Sus scrofa: one gene and its partner. The protein of the gene in region 2 binds, or shares a complex with, the protein of the main gene of each other region. Links are inferred from orthologs where the notes say so. Each region holds a gene or a part of one and is shown on either strand. Other genes may lie near its edges. The genes, in order: CAPNS1 and CAST.

Region 1 (4,280 bases), on a different chromosome or scaffold from region 2:
AAAAAAAAAAAGGAAGGAAGGAAATCCCATCTTCACCAAGGCCTCCCCAAGACTGCCCTCAAGGATACATCCATCACAGCCACCATGCTTCGACATGTGTCAATGCCAAAACCATCAGTCTTCAGATCAGGGTCTGTGGGGAACAGGTTGAAAATCAGAGGTCAGAGATCACAGCTGCCCCAGCCACCATGCCCCTAAGCCTGCCCCATGTGTTGACGCCGGACACTCACGTCGGGTCACGACCTTGTTGAGAATGTTCATGAGTTCCGTGGCACTGACCTCCATGTCCTGAGGGGAAAAGTTAGGAATGGGTCGGGGTGACTGGAAGGGGTCTGTGCGTGTCATGAGGGAGGATGGGAACTTGAGGATTGTACACGTAAAGGGCAGCCCAAGGGAAGGCACCGGAGGATTCCGACAGGTCTGGGGACCCCAGGTTACTTACATCTCCAGCCAGCTGGGCAAAGAGCCTCCGAAACTGCCGGACCTCCTCACTCTCATTGGCCTCAATGTTGGAATAATGGGTGCGAGGGGGCTGCAGAAGGAGGAGATCTCAGAGCAGGAAGGGAGAGGGGTGTCCTGGCCAGGACAGCCCTAAATGGGAAAGTCAGAGTGGGCTGGGAGGTTGAGTGACCAGAGAATGAGAGGTGGCCAGTGATTAGGGAGCGGATACCACTAAGTTTGGGGACATGACAAGGGGGAGACTTCATGAGATAAATTTCATAAGGAGAGGTGTGGGGCTTTTTTCAGAGGGACAAGGACGGGTGCTGGAAAAGGCCTCCGAATGAGAAGGGGTCTCCGACTGCGAAGGGCGGCTTGAGTGCGAAGGGCGGCTTACCGGGGGCTCGGGGTTGTACTGCGCAGCCGCCTCACTGAAGGGAAACGGGAGAAGTTAGTGTAGAGCCAGGGGGCGGGGCCTCCAACTGGCAGCTCCAGCCCCACGACCCAGCCCACCAAGCCCCACCGCGTAGCCTGCCAGCCTACCTACCAGCTCCCTCCGCCTGCCTCATCAGTCTTTGCCCTCACCTGTCCCTATCCTTGCTGCCCTGGTTGTGCCCCCTACACAGTGGCGGATCTCTCAAAAGACAAAGCCCCTTCGAGGGCATACTTCCTAGAAGCCCGGCCCCAGCTTTCCCAGGGCCCACCTTCCTCAGGTCTCACCTGTCTAGGAACCTACTCCATCTCCACGGCTTCTGAACACTTGCGTCCTCCCAAGATCCCACCCCAGCTCCGTGAGTTCTCACTCCTTCAAGGGATCACATTCAGGGGCCAAAACTAACTAGGCCCCTACCGACCACCCGCCCTACCTCCCTCAGGACATTTTTCTATTTTAATCCAGCCAGTTCCTGGCCAGGCCCTGTCCCTTCAAGTCCTTTTCCCCTATCCCATTAAGCCTGGCCTTCTTCTGGGCACACCCCTGAACGCACCTACGAGGGCTATGCCGCGCCCCTAGGTAAGCTTTGCCCCAGTGAAGTGACACCCGGCTTCAGTAGCTCCGCCCCCTTAACGTTAGTCTCCAGGTTAGCGGAAGGAGGCTGCACCTGGCCATTAAGCCCCACCTGGCCCATCAAATTGTGTCTCCCACCACAGTCAAAACTACTCCCATATCAAGTCCCGCTCCCTGAACTCAATACAGTCGGCCTCCTCAAGGCCGGTCTGCTGGCCCAGACCAGCCCCAGCCTAATTAATGTTCCGGGTCCGGGTCTAAGTTACCCCATTCTATTCTTGCGGGACCAGCCTCCTCCTCCAGGCCCCGCCCCTCTGCAGGCCCCGCCTTACCTGATGGCGCTAATAACCCCGCCCAGGATGCGCATGGCAGTTCCGCCACCACCGCCGCCGCCTCCTCCGCCACCGCCGCCGCCACCGCCGCCTCCGGCCCCGCTGATCAGGCCTCCGAGCACATTCCCTAGGCCCCCGCCCAAGCCCCCGCCTCCCCCGCCGCCGCCGCCGCCACCCTTCAGGAACGAGTTAACCAGGAACATGGCTGTGACTCAAGATTCCTGAGGGGGAGAAAAAAGGAGTCAAGTTGCTGTCCCGTCCCTAAGCCCGCCCCTTCCCCCCCAAATACACGCATTTCTGGCTGCTGGACTGGGGGAAGTAATAAGAAGCCTCTGACTGGGGCTCGAGGGTTCATTCAGGATAGGGCCTGGGCTTCTGGGGGAGGGTGTCTCGGATGGGTGGCATAAAGTCGGATTATCTGGTTTGAAACCTCTTCCCGGTCCAAAGAGTCCATATCTGGCTCGAAGGACCCTGGACTGAGTATACGCATAGGCATCATTAAGCACCAGACACCAGCCAAGTCAAGTGGGGTTCTCGAGATGGGGGCCCCAAGCAGGCGCTCTAATCTGGGATTCAGAGCCCCAAAACTGATGTAGAGGTCTGGGGCGGATCAGGGCGTGGATCAGAAATTCTCTGCCTGGAGGCCCCAGGGCCAGGATTTAGGGAAGCCAGAATGTAAGCTTGCGGGTTTAGGTACAAACAGCAGCGAGATAACAGTGTCATTGCTGGGTCTGTGGGTTCGGGTCTAAGACTGTGGGTGTGAGCCCCGGGGTCCGAGATAACGGAGTCCCCATTAGAACTGAGATCGGATCTAGGATCGCGATTCTGGAGGCCGCACCCAGAGCTGAATTTACCGGCTACCTCTCAAATCCATGCTCCTACTTCAGAACCTGAGAGGGAGGGTGGAAGAGTCTCCGGGGCGGGATAACTGGGGCCAGACAGATCTAGGGGTTTGAACATGGGTCTAGGGGACTCCTGAGACCAAAATTGTAGGATCTCTATGGTTTTGGAGGCCGCCAGGGCCGGGCTTAGGGAGACCAGGGGGGAAGTCCGGACTGGGCGCTCACCGCCTCGTTCACGCGTCCGCGGGTCCGCTTCTCTGTGCAGCTCCTGGGCCTCCGGCTGCGTCCGGCTCCGCAGGGCGGGGCGGGTGACTCAGGCGGCCCGGGCAGGGTTAGGCTATGCAGGGCGGCCCGGACGGATTCCGCGCGGTCCTAGAGCCGGTATTAAAACTGCGCAGGCGCCTGCTGGCCCCGCCCAGTGTAACAGGGTGCGGCTGCTGAGAATTCGCTGTGCGTTTCCTGAGCCGCAGTTCTGACGCCGCCCGGAGTTCATAGACTGGAAATCTTTCTCTACGCCTTTCGGTCCCCAATGCAGGCACTCGGGGACCAGGACTCCGAGGTGACCCGAACAGTCGCCAAGCCTAAATGTTGTAGTGTGAATTGTCGTCCCAAAGCCAAGCCTCCAGATGTTTTTGGTCTGCTCGGATAGGGATTCTTGGGACTCTTGGCACTTGTACCCTATCCTAGCCTTGTCGCGACAGACAGCGTCTGGAGACCCCGGATTTTGTTTTGCTCACAGTCTGAGGACAAGCGCCCTCATCTGTGTGGGGGGACCCTGCAGGCACAGCCCTGATGGCAGCCCAGTTACTCCCAGGAATGGGACTTCTTTGTTCCTCCACCTGCACCCCTTTACCCCCTGGGTCAGGGTCACCAGAATCATTTTACTTGGATGGACCAAAAAAAATCATTTTACCTGGTCTCAGTCTTCCAGTCTCTAAAGAGGGTCCAGACACTGGAAGAGGCTGGGGGCCACAGCCTGGTTTCTGAAGCTTGATGTTCCCAAGGTCAGGTGGTGGGCAGGGTGGGGAATGCAACTGAAAGGAAAAATGGCAACTGAAGCAACCCTTGGAGCCCTTTTGCTTGCTCTCTAGTTGCAACCTTCAACCTGTGAGCGCCCAGTACTCTTTCAAGGCTCCTTCAGGCACACTGGCTGGCTGTCCAGCCCTTAGCCTCTTCCTGGGAAGCTGGTTCAGCTGGAGTTTGAATCCTGACTTTGCCTCTTAATAATTTGGGGTCCCATAACAGTGATTTAAACAATGATTTTCTAATCTGTAAAATGCCAACAAGGGTTTCCATGTCCCCACTTCTAGGCCTCTACGAGAATTTTGTGGTAAATGTTTAGTAAACAGTAGCTGTTGGAGTTCCTCTTGTGGCTCAGTGGGTTAAGAACTCAACTAGCATCCATGAGGATGCGGGTTAGATCCCTGGCCTTGCTCAGTGGGTTAAGGATCTGGTGTTGCTGCAAGCTGTGGCATAGGTCATGGATGTGGCTCAGATCTGGGGTTGCTGTGGCCGTGGCGTAGGCCCGGAAACTTTCATATGCCATGGGCGCAGCCCTAAAAAGACAAAAAAAAAAAAAAAAAAGAAGAAGAAGAAGAAGCTGTTAGCCTCTGTGTCTGTACCTGTGGTGTTCCCTCCTCCTGGAGGCCACCTGGGTCATCT
Region 2 (4,349 bases):
TAATAAAGTCAGCTTATGACTCAGCAGTGTGATTACTGTATGTCAGCCAACCAGATTTACTCTTCTTCATACTTCTTCATTGTGAAGCTCATCATATGCTCTTCAAATCTAGCTTTGTAAAGTTTTGTTTTAAAATTTTTACCAAAGCAACTTAATTCATCAAAAGATAAGATCAATATATTGATGGTATGCAGTGGGGGGAAATAGACATTGTAATGTTTTACTGACTGGCTTTACAGGTGGCAGTCCCTTAAACAAAACACATCATAGATACATCTTTTAATTATTTTATCATATTCTGCCTAATTTTTTTTTTTTTAATTTTCAGGGCCACACGCCCATAGCACATGGAAGTTCCCAGACTAAGGGTCAAATCAAAGCTGTAGCCACAGTCACAGCAATGTGGATCTGAGCCACGTTTGCAACCTACACTGCAGCTCACAGCAATGCCAGATCCTTAACCCACTCAGCGGGGCCAGGGATCGAACCTGTGTTCTCATGGATACTAGTCAGATTCGGTACCACTCAGCCACAATGGGAACTCCTTATTCTACCTAAATTTTGAAAGCTATGTCAATCACAATCTTTGTCAGTATTTAAAGGGTTCCAGTAAAGATATTTTAATTATAGGATTTACCAAAACTATTATATATATTATACATATATATATAAATACATACATCTTTTATATATTGTATTTTTGTATAAAATTTTTGTGTAAATAAATTGCATAAATCTTATATATAATAGTATATAAAAACATAAATATCATGTATGTGTGTGTGTTATAAATTGTCTCCATAGATCTTCAGCGGATTTATGGATGGGCTTTTATGTGTGTATGTGTGTACTTTGTTGTGGAAAAATGGTTCACAAATTTCATTTAATTCTAAAAATGTTCTCTGATCATGCCTTCATAGCCACCTAGCAAAACCAGTTAGAAACCCACGTCTAAAACTATACTGGTCAATACCCGATCTATTAGCCACTCATGCCTATTGCTCACTTGAAATACATCAAGTATGAATTGAGATGAGCTCTAAGTATAAAATACATGCTGGATTTTTAAGAATTAATATGACAAAGAAGATGTATAATATCTCAATGATTTGCACATTGATTGTTGAAATAACAATGGTTGGGAAATAGAGGGTTAAATAAAATGTTATTAGCATTTACTTCACCTGTTTCTTTTTGCTTTTGTTTATGTGACTACTAGAAAATTTAAAATTACATATATGGCTCACACTATATTTCTACTGGACAGCACTAGTTTGGGCAAAGTCAAAGCTTGATCATAGGCAGTTTGCTGATTCAGGAGGTTCCTACTAGCAAAAAAAAAAAAAAAAAAAAAAAAAAATTCTAATAGTTCCAGAATTATATTACAAGAGAAGTTTTTAGCTAAAATGTCAAACTATGCCTAAACATAACAAGGTTAAAAGCATAGATTTAAACAATCTTCATCCAGATATTCCAGCATAATTTCCTTTAAAGAATCATGAATTTGAAAGAAGACTGATGTCAGCCCTGAACCACTGCCATCCATATTTGCAGGTAATTCAAGTTGGGCATTTTTGATAAGAACCTTAGGACAATAATGACGCAAAGCAAACATTTGCTTTTAGAACATCAATAAGATGAAACATTTTAAAAACCCAGAAAGTGTAATGGGAAGCATTCATGAAGAAACATCTTAGGGGAAACAGGAATTCCCAATCATTAAAGGCATATAAGCATGGTAATTTGATTCATGAATCTACTCTTCACCAACTCTTATGTGGTACTTATTACCACCCCAATTTTATAGATGTGGAAACAGTTTCAAAAAGGTTGACCCATTGCCCTGTGAGAACAAGAATTCTGTCTGGTTTTCCACTGTGTACTTCAAGACTAGTACTGGGTCTGGCATACATTAGATACTCAGTGAACACCCATTGGCTGAAAAGGGACAGTTTACAGATTCCAACACAAGATTTCTCTCTAAAGAGTATCTGATAACAACATCCTAGCACATGCTGAGAGGACTCATTTTAAATTTTTCACCATATATCAATGGGATATAACTATTTTTATTCTGTTTACAAAACTTTTGTGTATTTTTTGGGGGGGGGGCATTGTAACATTAAGTCACACTTCCTGATTCAAAGCCTTACAAGCACCAGCTTGACTGGCTATCACACCTAATTGTCTGGAAAGGCATTCAATGCATTAAACAAATGAAACATCTAGGTCCCTCATCCAAAGTAATAAAACACAGAGCAGAGGCTGCTCTCTCATTCTAAACATCGGTCTTGATGTCAGTTTCTTCTGCTCCTTGGAGTTTTGGATTTTCTACTTGCCCTCATTCCAGCTGCCTCTCCTCCTTTGCAGTGGAGAATGTACGTCCAACAAGCCTCTAAAAGTTTTGAGCTTTACTTATGCCTTAAAAACAAACACTAAATCTGAGCTCTCTTGAGTCCAGTAGGAGTTCATTCAGGAATCCGTGTCCAAGGGCTGAATTCCTCCAGCAACAATTCCTGTTCCATTCAACTTGGGAGCGTGAGCACAGCCTGGTGCTTTTGCTCACACCAACGACTTGCACGTCTGAGCTAGCTTGCACATACCACAGCAGGGTGCGTCTCACCCTCTCCAGGAGCCTAACCTGAAGGTCTGAGAGGAGGTCACAACTGGTCCCCACCCCTTCCTCACCAAACCCTGGACAATAAACTGGCCTGCACGCCCAGAAAGCACATTCCCTTCCCGGTCCTGCCCAGGCACGATCACTCCTATTTACCGTCTTGTACCACCAGCTTGCGAATGCCATGGCGACAACCAATTTGCTCTGAGTCGCGCAGAGTAGAACCCGGAGAGGACGCGAGAACACGGGATGCAGCGCAGAAGGGGTTTGGCTCACACTCCTCCAGCCCTGGACCTGGTTGGTCCTGAGTTCTGTAAGCCCCACTGCTGCCAGGGAGGAAGGCATCTGGGCGGGGCCGAGGTAGGGCCCCACCCCCACTGGGTTGAGCCGGCCCCGCCCCGCCCCGCCCCACCCCGATTTGGCTCTAGGCCGGTTAGGGAAGAAGTGTTATTTCTCCAGGCAGCCACGCCCTGCAGTCCTGACTTTTATCACTTTACGAAAAAGACCCCCACTCTCTGGGGGTCCAGATGAACTTTATTCCCCTTTTATCCTCATCTGCTTTTTACCCCAGTCTCAGCAACCAACTTTTCCCCAAGTGGGCCACCTTCAATCTGGTTTATGCCACGCCCTATGCGCTTGGCCGAGGCCCGGCAACCCCTGGCCACCTCCAACCACCTGCCCAGAGGCTGGTACAGAGTCTCGCATCCTTCTCCGGCCCAGGAGGGGGCCCATGGGGCATCTGGCCCTGGCAGGCTACCCCAAAGGAAGTAGCGCATGGCTCCGGGGGCCTGGGGCCGAGGTCCTCCCAGCGCCCAGCCCTGTGGCTCTGGCAGGAGTGCCACTCACCTCCTGGGTGTGGCGGGCCGCAGCAGCTCGCCGGGGACGTGGGGAGGCTGCGGGCTTCTGGCCCGGCTGGGACATGGTAAGGCCTTGGAGAGCGCTGCCTCCGGGAGGGCACAGCGGAGACTGGAAGGGAGAGGGAGGCCCGGGGCGGGAACGCTAGGAGGGAGGGAGGGAGCGGAGGGCCCAGCGGGCGCGCCCGTGAGGCAGCTTTTCCGACCCAGCCCCGAACCCTGCGTGGGGGCTCCCCCTCTCCTGGCTGGGCCCTCCCCTTCCTGCCAGCCACTGGCTGAGCCTGGGCTGCAGCGGCCCAGGGCTCCCGCCCGCAGCTTAACACTCTCAGCCTGTACCTCTACCCAGTGTTGCCCCCTCTCCCCAACACCCCAGGTCGGCTGAGATCCCCAAGAAAGGAGGAGCTGGAGGTCTCGGGGTTCCTCCTTCGACTTGCCCAGACTTGGCTTAAGATTGTGCAATGTGAGAGCGGGACCGGGCGTGGCCTGTCTATGCCTCCAACCTCCTGCCTAAGAATCTCAAGAATTAGACACCTTTTCTGCTATAGGAGAAGAATTTACCAACTGAAGTATGGCCCAAGCCTGGACCTTCTGGATCAAAAAGCATATTACAAAAACAAACTGGTGCGTGTGTGTGTGATTTAACTTGGCAGGGGTGTGTGTGTGTGTGTGTGTGTGTGTGTGTGTGTGTGCAGTTTTGAAAGTTTAATGATGTTTTACAGGGAGGAAGCTGTAGGTTCTAAACCAAAATAAAGAACATTCCCAAACTTAACCCCCTATACTGCCTTTTTCTGGAGGCTGGCAAATTTTGTTTCTGATGCTAGGTTACTTTTGTCTTAGGCTCATCTTAAACAGCACTTCCTGGTTTGGGGCGGTGAAAT

What was found.
Region 1: the proteins of CAST (region 2) and CAPNS1 are in contact, whole or in part, in a crystal structure (PDB 3BOW), measured with the Rattus norvegicus proteins. The link is inferred for Sus scrofa from reciprocal best matches to the Homo sapiens genes CAST and CAPNS1. Residues at the interface, in NP_445747.2 of Rattus norvegicus: Pro652, Ile653, Asp654, Ala655, Leu656, Ser657, Asp659, Leu660, Asp661; in NP_058814.1 of Rattus norvegicus: Phe103, Leu106, Gln109, Leu110, Ile125, Lys128, Val129, Arg132, His133, Leu136, Phe166, Trp170, Lys174, Gln177, Lys181.

Annotation. Positions count from the first base shown.
Region 1 is NC_010448.4:45,510,022-45,514,301, reverse strand, and holds the start of CAPNS1 (calpain small subunit 1), read right to left. Parts: upstream 2,893-4,280; 5' UTR 2,844-2,892; intron 1,998-2,843; 5' UTR 1,980-1,997; coding exon 1,777-1,979; intron 870-1,776; coding exon 836-869; intron 533-835; coding exon 443-532; intron 289-442; coding exon 231-288; intron 134-230; coding exon 69-133; intron 1-68. UniProt on the Homo sapiens protein: Regulatory subunit of the calcium-regulated non-lysosomal thiol-protease which catalyzes limited proteolysis of substrates involved in cytoskeletal remodeling and signal transduction. Essential for embryonic development.
Region 2 is NC_010444.4:103,255,107-103,259,455, reverse strand, and holds the start of CAST (calpastatin), read right to left. Parts: upstream 2,804-4,349; coding exon 2,774-2,803; intron 1-2,773.